Linked DNA regions of Mytilus edulis. The protein of the gene in region 1 interacts with the protein of each later gene in a biochemical or structural test. Links are inferred from orthologs where the notes say so. Each region holds a gene or a part of one and is shown in the gene's direction. Other genes may lie near its edges.

Region 1 (3,762 bases):
TTTGAGTCACTATTCAAGTTTTCGTCAATTTTTTGTTCATGTTGTTATTTCCCTCAACGCTTAATAGTTCTTGATGCGGAGACTTTTTGTAAAATTTTCATTTATTGGGACAGATAAAGTGTCCCCTCGACTGCAGAGATGTTTTCTCAACTGGTATTCAGATGATTGACCACACTACTTGAGTAAAGGACTGGATTTATCATTCGTATCCTGTGACCTATGTGTAAAGCGTCACCCTCTTGTCTTCTTTTCTTTAGATGGTACATAAGGGTGGTTGTTCCTAATGTCATCCCTACGAAATGTCTTTTTGTTTTTTAAGCAGATTTTAGGATTGTACAATAATGATGTTTATTGTTATGTTATGTTTTGTTATGTTATGTTATGTTATGTTATGTTATGTTATGTTATGTTATGTTATGTTATGTTATGTTATGTTATGTTATGTTATGTTATGTTATGTTATGCCGTTATGTTTTGTTTTTGTTTGTATTTGTTTTTTTGTTTTGTTTTTGTTTTTGTTTTGTTTGTTTTTGTTTTAATGAGCTGAGTGGATTGAGCCGTAAACTTCAAAACTTGTAATTTTTAAGTGCATTCACTTATTTTGTGGGTGAATACTAAAAGTTTTGTTACGTTTTCTTACCGTTTTTATCTTCTGCATCTTTATGTAACTTGATTAATAAATTTTGAATAAGAATGAATGAGGGGAAAATATTATTGCACCTTCTGATGTAATCAATTGAAGAAATGGTTTGAATCGGAAATGCTGTTTTTGTACGTTCTGAGTCTTTTGACTACAACAAAGAAATGTTCTAACGGTGAACATTCTTACCAAATCATTACAACTGGACATAAATTATATTATTTACTCGGAATACGTCGCGTTTCTTCCAGTCTTTATTCATAAACAGAAAGCAGTCACAAGATTTGTACAAAACACAAACAAAAATAGATTTCTGCAATCAAATGGTTTGAATGAAAGGTTTGAATAAGATGAAGGTAACACAGAACTCTCATGACATTAAACATAAATCATACAGGGAAATAATACCTTTGAAAATTTGAAAAATCCAGGTTTTTTTTCGATTTTTTGGGTGACAATTTTACAACTGTCAACTGAAAAACAGAACCAAAATAAAAGGTTTCAATCTTTTATTAACTAGATTTGAATGTTAGTTATTTATACAGATATGAAAAGAAATGAATTGTCATTTGCATGTGCTTTGGTATTCCCTTCTCCCTTTTGAATACATCTAAAAATGGTTAATTGAAATCTGTGCCAGTTGACCCTAGAATCTGTGTTGCTTAATATTTTTATGTCAAGCAACAATCACTTTTCCATTTTGGCATCAGATATTTTGTATTATGACATCACATTTTTACCAGAATCTTTGCGAAGTCCAGTAGTAGCGTACAAATGGTGTTGATCATGGTGATAAGGTGTTTTATGAATTTTCAATGTGTTTCAATTTTTCTCTGCATTAGGTATGACAGTATCTGAAATAAAAAAAATTGTAATGTACAGACAAATTAACATAAGTTATACAACAGCAACTAAATCTAAACAATCTATTGGCACTCATGCCTGATCTTCCAAGTTCTTATTTATAGGCAATGTCTGCGCGTACCCGCATGGGGGTACAAATAGTCAATGCCATTCGTATAGGCTACGCGTACCCACATCAGGTTTTCTAATAAAAGGCTTTCAAATCAGGAATGATTCAGGAATAATCGGGAATGATACGTGAAATATAAACGGAAATTATCGATAATGTGGGGATTTCGTGTAGAACGAGTGAATAGTATGAAAAATAATATTTTTAAATTGTATTTATTAGATAATAATACATAATAACCATATTGCAAATTAAATGCACACTGATGGAAAATGAAACTTCACAGTCCCTGTAAATGAAAAACATGCACAAAAATGTCAGTATTCACTTCAAAGTCTTACAAAACCTTTAAACAGACTTATTAAGAAGGGATATAGTTTTGATACTGTTGACAGGTCATTTAAGATTGCATATTTTGGCTTTAATATTGATTTACTTATAGGGTCTTTGCATCGGAACTAAACACATTTATTTTTTTTAAACAGTTGTTGGCATGACACAGGTTATGTTCTTATCATATATTTTATGATAGTATGATACTAAACCCCAAATGGAGGGATTGTGTCTGATATTCATATGATGAAGACATAATCTTTCAATCAGTTTAATTGAGGTCTGGAGCTGGCATGTCAGTTAATTGCTAGTAGTCTGTTGTTATTTATGTATTATTGTCATTTTATTTATTTTCTTTTGTTATACTTATATCTTCTGACATCGGACTCGGACTTCTCTTGAACTGAATTTTAATGTGTGTATTGTTATGCATTTACTTTTGTACATTAGCTAGAGGTATAGGGGGAGGGTTGAGATCTCATAAACATGTTTAACCCCGCCGCAATTTTGCGCCTGTCCCAAGTCAGGAGCCTCTGGCATGTTTGGCCTTTGTTAGTCTTGTATGACTTTTAATTTTAGTTTCTTGTGTATAATTCAGAGTTTAGTATGGCGTCCATTGTCACTGTACTAGTATACATATTTCTTAAGGAGCCAGCTGAAGGACGCCTACGGGTGCGAGAGTTTCTCGCTACATTGAAGACCCATTGGTGGCCTTCGGCTGTTGTCTGCTCTATGGTTGGGTTGTTGTCGCTTTGACACATTCCCCATTTCCTTTCTCAATTTTATGATAAAAATTAGTACTATTATTAAATGTAAATGCATATTTAAAGAATTAGATTTTACTGAATTTGAAAACCACCCATATGAGATTTAAAAATAATCTTTTAGTGAAATGTAAAACAGAAACTGAAATTATAAAACATCTTAAACTACTTAAAGCTTGGATGTCTATATAAAACTGAATTAAAGAAGCAGGTAATAATGTCATAATAAACCAATTTTATAAGATTTATGTAACTAGTTTAAAAGATTTTGAAATTTTTTTATATATCCAATAGGTTAAATGTTTTGGCACATTTTTCAACCCTGCACATTTCAAATGTTACCAGTCCAAACAACATCGAACTCGAAAGTTGTCTATTGACTCCAAGTTTCTTTTATACAATTGTATAAAATTGATTGACTGATAGTTACAATTATTCATGATAACTTTGAAATGTATACCTATATATAAATATTTATAAATTAAAACTTCTGAGTGGTTTTAGTCAATTTATTCACTAACTGCAACAAATTTCGTTTATATTTGATCATATTTCACGTTTCATTCCCCATGTTCCCAATCCGATGCCATTTTATTGTAAAACCGGATGTGGGTACGCGTAGCCTACGAATGGTAATTTGACTAATGTGCAACACTTGTATATATAGGTATAGGAAGATGTGGTATGAGTGCCAATGAGACAACTCTCCATCCAAAAAACAATTTATGAAACAATTATAGGTGAAGGTACGGCCTTCAACACGGAGCCTTGACTCACACCGAACAACAAGCTACATGCAACAATATACATGTATATATACATCTTCTGTAGTACAAACATGAAAAAAATTGAGGTATGATTAAAATGTTACATTATTCAAACTACAAAAATGTAAATAAACATGCTCAACAGTGCATAAAATGTATATTTTTATTTTTATTCATACAGTATGAAAAAGATTCAAGATATAAATGATTACCATGGCTACGAACAACATGAATTACAAATATTATATCTAAAATCCACTGTGTTTCAATTATTATACTTATTTT
Region 2 (3,762 bases), about 7.3 Mb from region 1:
CATTTCTTATATAATACATTTATTAACCAACTGTACAAAAGTGTATGTGTTGCTGCTAACTTGATGTACTGTCTTACTCTTTTAATGACAGTTTAGTTTGAACAAAATAAAAAACTGGGCATTAATACAGCGCCATTACAGAAAAACAGGGCCATTTGTAACAGAAAAAAACAGGGTCATTACAGAAAAACAGGGCCATTACAGAAAAAAAACAGGGCCATTACAGAACATATGTAATTTTTAATAAACAGTCACTTTTGGAAATAATGCACTTAGTTGGTTAATAAAAAGGTATATTAATTTATAGCAGAGACATATGTATTATATGTCTCTGATTATATAACTCGAATAATTCAAGCCCTTTCCGTGTCCGATTTTCTCCCACACGAAGGCTTGAACTCTTTGTGATCATTGGCCGCGTCGCCTGCTCTCTGTGAGAGAGAGCCAATCAGCGGCGATCAGGATATGAGTCGGCGCAACTCTCTTGAAATTGTCTTACCAAACACGTGTGTTCAATTAACACAAATCCGATAATAATTAATTAACATCAATTAACATCAGTTTACATCATTTATCATCAATTAACATCCGGAACTCCTCCTTCTTTAGCTGCCAATTTAAATCAAAATTCCCATATTGCAAAGGGGTGTGAATTTTCCGGTTGACGGTCTTGATCGAGGAAGACGTTCAGGCGTTAATGTAGCCTTCGTAGATCAGCGGAATATAACGACTGAATTATTCGGGTTACTGATTATAGGAAATTTTTTTCTGAGAGACTAGTGCCTGTGTCTTTCAAGGACAATAACTGTCATAACTTCTACCAAGGAATGGTATATTTTTAAAATATACAATGAATTCCATGCTTCTGATAGGGATCAATAAAACAACAATGTAATCATTGAAATACTTTGTGTACTAATGTTCTTTGTTTTAATTTCGTGTAAGTAATTGGGACTAATAGTGTTTAGACATGTGCTTTTATTTTTATGAGAGACATATAAGATCATATAATGTAATACAATACAATTTTTTTTTTCTATTTCAAGTATTAATAAACTATTTTAAATTCAACCGCCTCACGAACTATACAACGTAAACAAGGAAGATGACCACTTCGTTTACCTCCGTAGGTTCGTCGGAAATTACGAGGTCAACTTGCCATGTGACTTGTTTGTGTTTTGGTCGGAGGTTAACGCGAGTACAACATTCTACAGACAGACAGAAGTGAAGGAGACAAGGCTTGGACGTATTTTTAAACACTTTTCGTTAATTAATCTTAATATGTCAAAATCTGGGTCTCCTCAACAACATGTTAAAGGACAGAGTATTCCCAGACGAGTAGTGTTAAACGATTTATCACAGCTCCCAAATGATTACAGTACGACACCAGGCGGTTCGTTATTTTCTACAACTCCAGGAGGTGAGCGCATGTCTTCTTTTATAGTTTTATTTATTTCCAGTTTAAGATATTATTTGCAAATGCATGTCTGGAATAGTGATATAAGTTGTGATACAGTATGCAGATTTTGTTGTTTGTAAACAAGCATGTTTATTTCAAAATGGCGACTTACTAATGTTTTTGCAGCCATGTGACCCATATTATGTCATTCATGATTTAGGTCACAGCAACTCTGCCTCATAAACAGCCCAACGTAAAGTTTTGTAATGTTTATTTAGTTAACATTTGAATATGATTATCCTTAGAGTACAAACACACAGTGGCAACAAGTTGTGTATACTAAAAAGATAATATAAAATGTCAACAACAATATTTTATACATCAAGGATTTGTATAGACTATAGTATATTTTTTATATACATTTACATCTATACATGTTTTTAATGTAAAATTTAAGAGTTTTGCCTTTTCAGAATAATTGTGCTGTGAAGAGATCTTTTTATTAATAACCAAACTGGGGCTTGACATGTCATGTACATGTAGGATTTGTGTATATAGAATAGATTAAATATGTTAAATTTAGTACATACATGTAATAACAGTAACAGTTATTTGAGTAAACATACTATCTGAAACATGTACTTTGTTTTGTCACAAAATTAAATAGTAATGATGCAACAATTTCAACCCCTCAAACTTGCTTATTGAACTCTGTTCAACTATAAATAGATTGACCTAGTAATTTAATATATATATAGGTCAATCATTGTATTGTGGGTACATAATGATGCATCAATTTGGTCATAAGTCTTTTAGGGGTAAATTGTAAATAAATGTGTATGTATTAAACTGAATATTTATCTGTTCATGCTATTGAGTAATTACATGTACATGATGCTACATGTACCTTATGTAATTGTACAGTAGATATGTTATCATTTCTTTAAATAACAAATTGCAACACTTGTCCTCATTGATTAATTAAAACAGGAGTCATTGACCTGATCTGCTTACTTATATATATTTATGTATTAATACATGGATTTAAACCAGAGCAAGGTGTTTTTTTTTCTCTCTCTAGTTCTGATATGACAATTATTTGATAGTCTAAAAGTGAAGTAGTGGACCGATGAGTAAACATGAATAAAAACTTTTTAATATTATTCAGGTTCACCCTTGAGTATGAAATTTGGTATAGTGTTAACATCTGTTATTTCTCATGAGTCATTTTACTATTATATCATTCATTGATTTGAACAATGGAAAATAAATAAAGCAGAAATAAACATTACTTAAAGAAATTTTGTTGTACATGTATTTTCCCAGGCATGTTTTCAATTTTCAATTTTCTGATTTTAAATAACAAATTGACAGAGTATGCAATGTTGTTGTTTATGAACAAATGTACACGATTATACATATACTGTACATGTCATTGACCTGACTTGTGGGAAACATGTAATTATGTACATGTATCCTTGCGGTGAACACCTCCTTACTGGCCAAGGCTTACGGTACTTCACTATCTCTTTAGTAGTAGGGACAGGTTAATAGATAACTTTTGTCAGACCAAAAATTTGTAAGAAATCTCTATTTTATTTTCTTTTATTTCTTCACTGTTTATTTACATAATAATAAACACACTGGTTTTTGTTTGTACATGTATAAGCAATGCTGAAAAATGACAATGATCATGACCAGTGATTGCCTTGGTAAGTGCATTTGTTGGTACAAGTCAACATGGTCAAGGAGAGTAAATTTTTTAAAAATTTTTTTTGGTTAAAACTTAGAGTTTTCATAATGTGTGTACTATGAATTTTATTAAGTTGAGATCGTCCTATTTCATTTTTAGGAACAAAGATTTTTTATGAGAGGAATTTCTTGATGCAGTGTAGGAACTCCCCACTAACTAGAAGTCCTCCACCAAATATGGCAAAGATTCCAGGGGTTACCTGTCCTGGGGAGGTTGATGTCCCTAAAGAAAATGGCACAGAAAATATCCCAGCTCAGAAAAATAGTAAGTACATTCTAAATAAAAGATGAAATGAAAAATAATTGTGTCGAACTGTTATTATAAGTAAGAGATTAGAATACTTGTAAAAATTTAACAGGTCCATGTAATTTTAACACTTCCGCTCAATTTATTATAAAAAGACTGTGATGAATCTACATTAAGTTAAGGAACAGAATTTGCTAAATTTAAATATATATAATAGAAATTAGGAGATGTGATATGATTTCCAATGAGACAAATATACAGTGTATAAAAGACCACTTGACAAAAGATGGAACATTAATTACAGGTCACCAAAATGAGCAACAACCCATGTCGTATTGATATATATATTTACTATATATAATAG

Evidence for each region. The genes of interacting proteins can lie anywhere in the genome.
Region 2: of the proteins of leucine-rich repeat serine/threonine-protein kinase 1-like (region 1) and eukaryotic translation initiation factor 4E-binding protein 1-like, one has a biochemical effect on the other in vitro, tested with the Drosophila melanogaster proteins (2 studies listed by BioGRID). The link is inferred for Mytilus edulis from reciprocal best matches to the Drosophila melanogaster genes Lrrk and Thor.

The regions. Positions count from the first base shown.
Region 1 is NC_092352.1:2,814,072-2,817,833, forward strand, and holds the start of leucine-rich repeat serine/threonine-protein kinase 1-like, read left to right. Parts: upstream 1-905; 5' UTR 906-996; intron 997-1,134; exon of another isoform or gene 1,135-1,452; coding exon of another isoform or gene 1,453-1,494; intron 1,495-3,762. Other genes in the region: uncharacterized protein, read right to left, coding at 1,453-1,494.
Region 2 is NC_092352.1:10,082,487-10,086,248, reverse strand, and holds the start of eukaryotic translation initiation factor 4E-binding protein 1-like, read left to right. Parts: upstream 1-1,136; 5' UTR 1,137-1,281; coding exon 1,282-1,420; intron 1,421-3,251; coding exon 3,252-3,416; intron 3,417-3,762. UniProt on the Drosophila melanogaster protein: Repressor of translation initiation that regulates eIF4E1 activity by preventing its assembly into the eIF4F complex. Hypophosphorylated form competes with eIF4G1 and strongly binds to eIF4E1, leading to repress translation.